Linked DNA regions of Saccharomyces cerevisiae S288C. The main gene of each other region encodes a partner of the protein of the gene in region 2 in a complex. Each region holds a gene or a part of one and is shown on either strand. Other genes may lie near its edges. The genes, in order: MRPL33, MRPL32, MRPL20 and MRPL23.

Evidence for each region.
Region 1: MRPL32 (region 2) and MRPL33 share a complex: the UniProt entries of both Saccharomyces cerevisiae proteins name them as parts of the mitochondrial large ribosomal subunit.
Region 3: MRPL32 (region 2) and MRPL20 share a complex: the UniProt entries of both Saccharomyces cerevisiae proteins name them as parts of the mitochondrial large ribosomal subunit.
Region 4: MRPL32 (region 2) and MRPL23 share a complex: the UniProt entries of both Saccharomyces cerevisiae proteins name them as parts of the mitochondrial large ribosomal subunit.

Annotation. Positions count from the first base shown.
Region 1 is NC_001145.3:840,019-842,724, forward strand, and holds MRPL33 (mitochondrial 54S ribosomal protein uL30m MRPL33), read left to right. Parts: upstream 1-1,923; coding exon 1,924-2,184; downstream 2,185-2,706. Other genes in the region: NGL2 (RNA exonuclease), read right to left, coding at 126-1,673; DSS1 (exoribonuclease II), read right to left, coding at 2,418-2,706. UniProt on the Saccharomyces cerevisiae protein: Component of the mitochondrial ribosome (mitoribosome), a dedicated translation machinery responsible for the synthesis of mitochondrial genome-encoded proteins, including at least some of the essential transmembrane subunits of the mitochondrial respiratory chain.
Region 2 is NC_001135.5:116,962-119,748, reverse strand, and holds MRPL32 (mitochondrial 54S ribosomal protein bL32m MRPL32), read right to left. Parts: upstream 1,130-2,787; coding exon 578-1,129; downstream 1-577. Other genes in the region: YCP4 (flavodoxin-like fold family protein), read left to right, coding at 1-174; septin CDC10, read left to right, coding at 1,401-2,369. UniProt on the Saccharomyces cerevisiae protein: Component of the mitochondrial ribosome (mitoribosome), a dedicated translation machinery responsible for the synthesis of mitochondrial genome-encoded proteins, including at least some of the essential transmembrane subunits of the mitochondrial respiratory chain.
Region 3 is NC_001143.9:598,573-601,632, reverse strand, and holds MRPL20 (mitochondrial 54S ribosomal protein mL58 MRPL20), read left to right. Parts: upstream 1-1,951; coding exon 1,952-2,539; downstream 2,540-3,060. Other genes in the region: DEAH-box RNA helicase PRP16, read right to left, coding at 1-1,776; ribosome dissociation factor GTPase HBS1, read left to right, coding at 2,743-3,060. UniProt on the Saccharomyces cerevisiae protein: Component of the mitochondrial ribosome (mitoribosome), a dedicated translation machinery responsible for the synthesis of mitochondrial genome-encoded proteins, including at least some of the essential transmembrane subunits of the mitochondrial respiratory chain.
Region 4 is NC_001147.6:610,216-613,063, reverse strand, and holds MRPL23 (mitochondrial 54S ribosomal protein uL13m MRPL23), read right to left. Parts: upstream 1,066-2,848; coding exon 574-1,065; downstream 1-573. Other genes in the region: DNA-directed RNA polymerase II core subunit RPB2, read left to right, coding at 1-67; SMP3 (glycosylphosphatidylinositol-alpha 1,2 mannosyltransferase), read left to right, coding at 1,676-2,848. UniProt on the Saccharomyces cerevisiae protein: Component of the mitochondrial ribosome (mitoribosome), a dedicated translation machinery responsible for the synthesis of mitochondrial genome-encoded proteins, including at least some of the essential transmembrane subunits of the mitochondrial respiratory chain.

The DNA.
Region 1 (2,706 bases), on a different chromosome or scaffold from region 2:
TATAACGTTACATACAATATTTGGTAGGGTAGGGTATTTGATGTAATATTTATTATTAAGAACTTTTGTCGTGCTAAACGTTGTACTGTACAACTATTAGCAAGATATTTATGCACGACAGTAATCTATAGTTGTAACTCTAAATCACACACCATAGACAAATGATCACTTGCATATTCTCCAACATGTGGTTGTCCATGCTTTGTCATTTCATTACCGGGCGGCATTCTCAAAAAACCTCTGCATTTAACTTTATTTTCTTTTTCAAAATCGCCAAGGGTTTCCACTTCCTGACAATTACTTTGTGGGTCCCATTTCTTTACATAAAATAGATAGTCTAATAAACCACGCCAAGTGTTTGCCCAATTTGAAATTTCAGGCTCACCTCTATCATTATCAAGACCTGCATTTTCTGGATGAACATTCTTATACCCAACAGAGTATAGTGAAATAGCCCTCATATCCAATGAGTTATGGAGTTGTGCCATTTTATCTACGAGTTCAGACTGTTCTTCATTAGCATGAAATTTTTCAGGAACGGGGCTCTCAGGTTGATCTTTACCATATTTTTCAATATTCCCGCCTTCTTCGTCATCTGCACCTTCTTCGCCATCACGGACCTTGGAAAACTTATATGAAGTGCTGCACCCAATGACGGTCTTTGCCCTGTTTCTATAGTGCACTGGTTTGGATGTCATAGATAAATATGGTGTGTCGAACGGCTGGGAATTAAAATCACCACAGAAAAAAGGAAACCAATGAGATAAATCCCCATCATTTTCGTTCTGTAAAACATTCACACGATGCATGAATTCCTTCATCTTTTTTAAAACAATATAGCATTGTCTTGTTCGTTCATAAGTACCAAATGGATGCCAAAATAGATGCGTAGTGCCGATCAAGATACCGCATTTTTTAGACGATTTTTTACCCAAATTCGACAGTACTTTCTCAGAAAACTTCAAGGCTAAGACTAATCCCACGTTGTTTGTCGTTGTTCTAGTGGAAATGCTTTCTGAACTTTCTTTATCATAGTCGATTAGCATTTTGTCAACCTGGTGAAATAATTCTCTCCTCCACATTATCGCGACACCATGGTTTTTTGTAGCATTTCTATAATATTGTCCATCGTATCCCAATTTACTGAATTCATCTTTCCAAAAGCTTTGAAACTGAATATGATCAATCTCTTGCAAACAAATGACATCGGAATTATAATATTTAAACTCGTTTAAGAGAACTTTAGAACGCCTGTACCATTTTAAAGCGTCACCACTATCCGGGAACAGCTTTCTGCGGATTAGAGCTTGCGCCAAGCAATTATAAGTCATTAGCTTGAATCTAAATCCAGTTACTGGCTCTGCCTCATGTAGAGATAGGAAAGGTCTTCTGATAAAATGCAGCTCTGGCGGGCAGTCCGGATCAACACCTTGAGCCAACATTGCATCTCTTTTAGCCTTTCTCATAACTTCCCTTTCGGCACGAACCTTAGCGATATGTTCTGGGGTCACTATGGGCTTCGATTTTTTACCTTTCTTGCCCTTCTTTTTATGTTGAAGTAACGAATCATCATTGGTTTGATGTTTTGCATCTTTTACAGATTTATTAATTTCTACTTCTTGGTCGGGCGCAACATCTGGGGCAACCACTTTGACTTCTTTGTCTTGTGTCATATTTACTTAATACTCTTAACTACAATTAAGAAGCTATAAGGAGACTACAATCTCATCTTCTTGCAACACTACTTTTCCTTTCCTCTTGCTTTAGTGCAACCATTTTTTGAAAAATGAATGGTCTTTCTGCACGAAATATCTCTCGAAGAGCTTTTCTAGATATTAAGGATAAAGTATATCATCCCAAAAGTTAGGTGATGGAATCAATATTGATGGACCAGCTAAAACACGTTGAAAGCAGATATCAGGAATGGTGTTTTACAAAGTCACGTTGAGTAGGTCGCTTATCGGTGTGCCACACACAACGAAGAGCATTGTCAAAAGTTTGGGTTTAGGTAAAAGAGGGTCCATAGTCTACAAAAAAGTAAACCCGGCCATAGCTGGCTCCCTAGCTAAAGTAAAAGAGTTAGTCAAAGTAGAAGTAACAGAACATGAATTAACACCATCGCAGCAACGAGAGTTGAGAAAGTCAAACCCTGGGTTTATAGTGGAGAAGAGAACCATCGACTGAAACAGCGAAAATAAGGCAACTGGATTTCCTTTCTTCTTGATATTCCTGACTTATATATGTATATAGTATTATTTTTTCCTGCATAGGCACATATGTTAATAGTAATTTATGCAATTTTTGATACAAAGAAATCAATACACTATCTCGATTTCATATTTTATGTATGTATATATTTACAAGAAGAAAATTATGCATGGTCTATTGAATTTTATATTTGGAAAAAGAGTCCCTTTTTATAGCTTTTCCAACTCTAACATTCCTTCTAAACAGTCAATTTTTGAAATTTTACAATTCTTCACGATATCTCCAATCATCGGATAATGCATAGAACTTGGATGCAATTTTAATGTTCCTCTAGCGAACGATAAGTCTGGAAAAACACATCCAGTAAATCCGTTCTGCGGTACTGATGTTACCATTACATCGAAAGTCCTTTCTGGCTCTAGTTTGGTTAGCTTTTTTAAATAATTCAGTGTCCAGTACGTCGACGAATTACGGCTAGCCCTTTTTAAAATATCCGCT
Region 2 (2,787 bases):
AAAACATTCTACGAAACCGCCAAAAAACTTTTCCCTGCAAAAGAAGCCAAGCCCTCCACTGAAAAGAAGACCACTACTTCTGATGCGGCTAAGAGACAAACTAAACCTGCAGCAGCTACAACTGCAGAAAAGAAGGAGGACAAAGGATTATTATCCTGCTGTACTGTCATGTAAGAAACAACAGTTCGCGTCTAATATTTAGTTCTTACTAACATTAATTCTATCTCAGCAGATATATCAATGTAGGACGTTGGAAAATTAATAAAGAATTAACTCTTTTTATTTTATTTTTTCCTTTTTATATTAAAAGTATATTTCTGTAAGTCCTTGTACTAATAATATCATTTCCTAATATTTTGAAATATAGTTGTTTTTTGTCAAGCAAAACTCTTGATTTCAAAGACCTCATTTTGTTAAGCCAAAAGCGAAAAATTCTATTTCGACTTTTCTTTCTGTTTCCGCTCCTTGTATTCTACCATTGATGCTGTCTTAAACAATAAATATACAGTTTGAAATTAAGTTTCTATATACAGGCTTAAGTTTATTTAAAAAGGAAACCACTAGATGAAAGATGAGCCTAGTCCTTTTTTAAAGTCCGAACGCGACGTTCCAAATAGTTATCTTTATCTTTCAAATCCTTGGTATATTTGGTATCTCTTCTACCAGGATATAGGACTCTTTGGTCTAGTTCGGAAAGTTCCTCCTCTTGTCTCGGCTTAATTTCTTCTTTAGCGGTATGCGTTTTCCATATATGACTTATTTGTCCAACACAATACATACACAGTGTATTGGCTCTCTTATAATGGCCGCATGATGGGCACTTATTCAAATGGTGAATCATCTTCAATTGCTTCTTACCTGGACCGTAAAGTTTTTGCCTTTTTTTTTGGTGTGATACTTTTTTTTTAGGAACTGCTAGTAGAATACCATTATTAGAGAAAAAATCTTTATCTTCAGTGTCCTTATGATCTTGTTGTAGCTTTTCTCTCAACCAACGGTGGATAGATCCCAGTTGTTTTTGGCCTGGAATCTGCAGTGAAGGATTTCCTAGCGGTACCAACCACCCAATTGCAGTGGTAGGCACAATTTTGTGAAATGCTAATTGTTTACCAAAAATCAAAGAATTCATAGTTTGTTTGCTGATATTCCCTGGTGTTTTTGTCTCCAAGTTAAGGTATTATTTGGGAACATTGTGCCTTATATTAAGATTTGCTTTCTGAATGCTTGCGGAAATAATCGTATGATACGATGAGATTTCCTCGAGAGACCACAAATAGATCAGAATCGCTGAATAGAATATATGTAAACATGTATCAGTAATACTTAACTTTTTTCAGGCAAAGACAAGAAAATACAAGGCCAAGCCCCACGGTTACTACAAGCACTCTATAAATATATTAATGGATCCTCTCAGCTCAGTACAGCCTGCTTCTTATGTTGGTTTTGATACCATCACGAATCAGATCGAACATCGTCTGTTGAAGAAAGGTTTTCAATTTAATATAATGGTTGTTGGCCAATCCGGATTGGGTAAAAGTACTCTAATAAATACGTTATTTGCCTCACATTTGATTGATTCTGCTACTGGTGATGATATTTCTGCCCTGCCTGTTACAAAAACAACTGAAATGAAAATTTCTACTCATACTCTTGTGGAGGACCGCGTTCGCTTGAATATTAATGTTATAGATACACCTGGATTTGGTGACTTTATTGACAATTCTAAAGCTTGGGAGCCTATTGTGAAGTACATTAAGGAACAACATTCTCAATACTTACGTAAAGAATTGACAGCCCAACGTGAAAGGTTTATTACTGATACAAGAGTTCATGCAATTCTTTATTTCCTGCAACCAAATGGAAAGGAGTTGAGCCGCCTTGACGTTGAAGCCTTGAAAAGATTGACAGAAATAGCAAATGTTATACCAGTTATTGGCAAGTCGGATACATTGACTTTAGATGAAAGAACGGAGTTTAGGGAGCTTATTCAAAATGAATTCGAAAAATACAATTTCAAGATTTATCCTTATGATTCGGAAGAACTAACTGACGAGGAATTAGAACTAAACAGAAGTGTTAGATCTATCATTCCGTTTGCAGTGGTTGGTTCTGAGAATGAGATTGAAATAAACGGTGAAACCTTCAGGGGAAGAAAAACTCGTTGGAGCGCTATTAATGTTGAGGATATCAACCAGTGTGATTTTGTATATTTAAGGGAATTTTTGATTCGAACTCATCTCCAAGACTTAATCGAAACAACTTCCTACATTCATTATGAAGGGTTCAGAGCAAGACAATTAATTGCCTTGAAAGAAAATGCGAATAGTCGTTCCTCAGCTCATATGTCTAGCAACGCCATTCAACGTTGAATCTCATAAGAATGGTGGTGATTATATATCTTATGTTATTAAGAATTCTCAAATTATTCTATATGAAAACACCGTAACTTGCTTCTCTCCTTGGTTTTACATAATGACATAATGCGATCGAAAACTAGAGGTACAGGTATTGCTGGATTGGCGAGAGTTTTTACCTTCTTTTCTGGCGTACAGCTATCACCTTCTCGTTTGGTAAAATGAAAGAACATTTTGTTGTCTTAGCCAAATATTTAATCTATGAAGAAAACGGAGTTTACCGGTAATTCTAAATAAAAGTTTGGTTAGGGATTGTGCCTCATAGAGAAGCAATTGGTACTCATCTTATTAAAGTATTACTATAAACATTAGAAAGAGTCCCTGAGCGTTGCTAATGGGAAGCTATTCGCGCTTTTAGTAAATTATTAAAATA
Region 3 (3,060 bases), on a different chromosome or scaffold from region 2:
AGAATATACTTGCAAAAACTTTTCTTGCAGAGTGTCGAACGTTGTTTCAATATCTTCTTGACCTGTCATGAAAATGAGAATATCACCGCTTGAACAATCGTTTGCTAAATGAATTTTCACAGCCTGAGAAACTGCAGCTTCTACGTAGTCTTGAACAGGGTTGGAAGTATATATGGTCTGTACGGGGAAAGTTCTTCCAGGAATTGTGAACTGAGGAGCATTACCAAAAAATGCGGAGAACTTCTTCGCATTCATTGTTGCTGAAGTGATTATGAGTTTTAGATCTCTTCTACGTGCTAATAAAATCTTGAAAAAACCTAGTAAAATGTCTGTATTTAATGACCTTTCATGAGCTTCATCAATAATAACACACGAATATTTATCGAGTGTATCATCCAATAAGGTCTCTCTGAGTAGAATACCATCCGTTACAAACTTAAGTTTTGTACACTCAGAATCCGTCACATCTTCAAACCTTATAGAATAGCCTACTTCCTTACCCAATGGAACTTGCATTTCCATTGCAACCCTTTTTGCAACGGATATGGCTGCTACTCTTCTCGGCTGTGTGACAACAATAGATTTCCCCCTATCGTTGGCATATCCTTCTTCATATAAATACTGTGCAAGTTGCGTGGTTTTACCTGAGCCCGTTTCACCAATTATCACCACTACTTGATTTTCTCTTATCAATGATAACAATTGAGATCTGCAGCGGAAAACAGGCAGTTGCTCTTTAGTATGTTTAATGTCATCTTTTGATGGCGTGAAAAGAGCTGTATCGTCGCAAATCTTTTGGTTGCTCTTATCTTTTGCTTTATTGTTATTCTCCAAGCCTAGTACTTCCCCCATGGCAGTGTTCAAAACAGTGGTGTTGTCTCGAGATTGTTGAATATGTTCCATGTTTATCCTTCTCAAGGCAACCAGCTTACTACCTCGTTTGGCGTTCGCAGAAAATTCACTGTCAGGATTCCTAAATGGATTCACCATTGATAAAGCGGATACTTGGCTGGACGTCTCAGAGATGGACCCGATAATTATGGAAGTGGGCACTTTGTTTTCAAGAGCAAACTTTGATAAAAAAGGAGGGATCCATTCCATTCTTTGCTTGAGTGGTATGGGGTATAATTGAACGGTATTTCGTAAGGCATCATCGTTGTCGATATTCCTAATGACAGGTAGTAGTTTCGCTTCCTCAGGCAATTCAGACAGAGGTTCAGGCACCAAATTTCCATAATCATCATCATTATCATACCATTCTCTGTCCTCCTCAACTACTTCGCTTCGAGTCGGTTCATAGTCCTTCGTTTCAGCATGACCATTCTGTGTTTGCTGTTCACTATTTGGAGAAGGATCCTTCACGGTGGGCGAATACTGCCTCAACTGTTTGGCCTTTAGTTTATCTATTCTCTTGAACAACGTCCGTGTAGGTGCTGGTTTTTTTTGAACTGGAGAATCTAGCTCATCTTCATTATCGTCAAGGTCTAACTGGATCTTAAATTTCTTTCTCTTATTTATAGAAGGGGCGATTTTCTTTGGGCCTGTCGAGTCCTCTTCAGATTTATTCTTGAGGAGCTCCAGAAGTTCATTAAAAATGATTGGATTGTTACTGCTGAGTTTCGTCAAAGCTTTACAGCTGGCAATAAACTGTTCTAGATTAGTATTCGGCTTTTGCGCTAGTTTCTGCAGTGTCAAAAGCAACCCAGGCGTTAGTTCTTTTGACGTAAGTTCCTTAAATATGTCTTTTATCCTTTCCTCACGCCCCGAATGACCCATACCAGAGGTATTTGTATTGTCTTTGGGCCTTCTTGTGTTTTATCATCTGCAGTCATCTCATGAATTTTTCAGCTTTCACCGCTTTTATTATTTGAGAAAATAGAAAAGAGGGCAAAAAGAGATACTTTCAACAAGTTAAAATGGAAAATTAAAGACAAAGTAAAATAGCACAAGAATGATTGGCAGAGGTGTGTGCTGCAGATCGTTCCACACTGCTGGATCTGCCTGGAAGCAATTTGGATTTCCCAAAACACAAGTGACAACGATTTACAACAAGACTAAGAGCGCATCTAACTATAAAGGGTATTTAAAGCACAGAGATGCTCCAGGAATGTACTATCAACCATCAGAATCCATCGCAACCGGATCTGTTAACAGTGAGACCATTCCACGTAGCTTTATGGCAGCCAGTGACCCTCGTAGAGGGCTTGACATGCCTGTTCAAAGCACTAAAGCGAAGCAGTGTCCAAATGTTCTCGTAGGTAAGAGCACAGTGAACGGCAAAACCTATCATCTGGGACCTCAAGAAATTGATGAGATCCGGAAGTTACGTCTTGACAATCCTCAAAAGTATACACGCAAATTTTTGGCTGCAAAATATGGCATTTCGCCATTATTTGTATCCATGGTCTCGAAACCTAGTGAACAACATGTACAAATTATGGAAAGTAGATTGCAAGAAATCCAATCACGCTGGAAGGAGAAGAGGCGTATAGCCAGAGAGGACCGTAAGCGTAGAAAACTCCTGTGGTACCAGGCGTGAATGCTATATAAATATAATAACAATCGTGTAAATACTACTCTATAAGTACTTCGTATTCATATATTGATCACAATGCACGGAGACGCCCATTAATGTGACTTGAATATACCACATGAAAGCTAACCAATAAGCAATTTAAAAAGAGTTAAGTACAGCTTGGAGACACCCAAAGGCTTCTGCTTCGACAACTATTGACTATCGAGATGGCTTACAGTGACTACAGCGATGGAGCAGACGACATGCCGGACTTTCACGACGAAGGTGAATTTGATGATTATTTGAATGACGATGAATATGATCTAATGAACGAGGTATTTCCTACTCTAAAGGCGCAGTTACAGGATTACCAAGGCTGGGATAATCTTTCACTTAAGCTAGCTTTGTTTGACAACAATTTCGATTTGGAAAGCACGCTGGCGGAATTGAAGAAAACTTTGAAGAAGAAGAAGACACCAAAGAAGCCAATTGCTGCTGCTAATGGGAGTGCGAATGTTACTCAAAAACTGGCAAACATCTCAATT
Region 4 (2,848 bases), on a different chromosome or scaffold from region 2:
ATTCCAAGAACTTATGGCTATGAACATTACACCACGTTTATATACCGATCGTTCGAGAGATTTTTAAGAAATAATGTTGTAACTCTAAGAAAGTAAAATAATAAAAAACATTTCATTTGTGCTGATCTTGCCAAAAAAAGGGTAAACAAGTAGGCAATAGTAATAAAATAAGAATGAAGCATTTCTTTTAATAAGCAGAGAGAACTTTCAAGCATTCAAAAAACACAAAAATAATGATGAATAAAATGGGACTCACAGTGTTTATTTATAGTCCTTGTTTCGCATTTTACCAAATTAAAATTTAATTTTATCAAGACATATTAATGAACTTTAGCGGAAAACCTTAAATATCCAAGTCATAAATAATGACTTATGTAAAAAGTTATAAGAAAAATATACGGTGTTCATTTTGGAACAATGTTGCTGTTACACACTGTTAAATATATTTAGTATTCATAAAAGAAAGAAGATTTTAATACGCGTTTTGATTAAAACTACATAACAGATAAATATATACATGGATTGAAGACTGCAAAAAGGATATATAAAAAAATGACAAATAATTTCAATAAGCTATTTCAATTGGTTAAAAATTGATTCTTTAAGAGGCTCTGGTATTGATGATTGCTCATGGGCAAAGGCAGTAATATTTTGTTTATAAGGGTTTTCACTTCCATCGAAAACTTTTAAGCGGTCTAACCGTTGCTTTCTCAATTTATTTTTAGGCAACATACCGCTAACTGCTTTTTTCAAAATTTCTCCAAATCCTTTATCGGCAACAACCTTGTTCATTGTCTGTAACTTTAGCTGACCAGGTCTACCTGAATGAGACCAGTAAGTCTTCTGCTCAAATTTCTTACCTGTTACACGGATTTTTTGGCAATTAGTCACTACTACGTAGTCTCCACAGTCTTGTGACGGATGATAGACCGGCTTATGTCTACCAATTAAGGTAATTGCAATTGCTGAAGCCAATCTACCCAATGTCCTCTTATCACGGGCAACGTCGACATGGTGCCAAAGGCGCGCAAAAGCCAAGCCACTGTGTCCAATCTTCTGCGACATGAATAGGCTATTGTTGATGCTGGTATTGCTTTCTTTTTCTATATGATATCAGTGTATTCATAAGGTCTTTCTCTTTTACTTATTTAGAACGTTTTAAAGATCTCTAAACTACAAGGAAGGCTCCATGCGGGTAACAATCAACATTATAACGATAATTAACTAAACCATAACCGTCTAAGTAACCATAGCGTGCGGTGATTCTTCGCTAGATGGAACTCATGTCTTACTAGTAGCGTGTTTGGTACGTGCAATATAGAGCAAAACATTATATAGACATCGTAATAGCTTTTTATGTGCGGACTGTAATGTTTGTAAGAAGTAAAACCAGTCACTAATATAGTGAAAAAAAGTCAACTTATCGATCTATGTATCTCATAGAAGATGTATTGATTTAATATAACTTATAAAGGTGCTTCTACAGTAAGGTGCTGAGAGGACTTACTATGTCGGCAACAAGTTCAAATCTGAAGCTCTGAGGATTTCGCGAGATGCGCACAATCTGAAGTAATATAAAGATGAAAACACAATACAAAAGGCCTGAAAATCTATATGTCCGATAAGATATCATAGTATTCTTACTCGCAAGCACACATCAGGTACTTGGAAGTGTATGATGAGGTATCAATGGTGGCTTTATTTAGTATATGCCATCGGCCTAATGCTATGCCTAGGCCCGTCGTATATTCATCCAGATGAACATTTCCAATGCATCGAGATTTTGGCTATGCAGTTCATGAAGGTCAAAGGTACCATCCCATGGGAATTTAAATCAAAATTTGCTGCTAGGAGTTACGGCCCCCTATTATTGGTTTACGGGCCTTTGTTCACTATTTTAGAATCTTTTCCCGAAATTCAGGACAACCCAGCGTTAATTCTGTATTCGATGAGACTACAAAACTATGTGATGTACCTATTGTGCTATCATTTTTTAATACCTAAATTAATAAGGGATGAGAGAAAGGCCGTACAATTCATCAAAAAAAGTCTACTTTTAACTTCTTACGTAACCTGGACGTACCAAACACACACGTTTTCCAATTCCATAGAAACGCTGGCTTTAATCTCAACTTTAACTGTAATGGAAGATATGGTAAACGAAAAAAATATTCAAAGAAGTAATTTCAAAAATTCGGTTATATTGGGACTTATATTTAGTTTTGGTGTTTTTAATAGAGTTACTTTTCCTGCATTTATTTTCTTACCATGTTTGATATTATTCTGGAAGTTTTACCGGGTCCATTGGAAATCCTTTTCTTTACTTTTACTTTCATTTTCATTTTCCTCGTGTCTATTTGTTCTTATTGATACAAATATTTATAACAACGGAAAGGGATTTGTCATTACGCCCTTGAATAACCTGAAATACAACCTCAATGTCCAAAATTTGCAAGTACATGGATTACATCCAAGATACACCCATCTGCTGGTCAATTTACCTCAAATAGTTGGCCCAGTATTGCTGCTAGCGATTTTTTCCGGTTACAAACTCGATAAATTATCTACTTACGCAATCATATCTGGCCTGCTTTTTCTTTCATTCTTTCAACATCAAGAATTAAGATTCCTTGTACCGCTAGTGCCACTACTCGTGACAAACTTAAACTGGACACCTCTGAGTTCCACGTTAGTAAACAAGAAAATTTTCAAGGGAACTTGGCTTCTTTTTAACATAATCATGGCGTTCATCATGGGAATTTCACATCAAGCAGGAATTATCCAATTTTTGGGAGATTACTTCCACTTTCGTACCGAACAAATGGGCGTTCACATATGGTGGAAAACA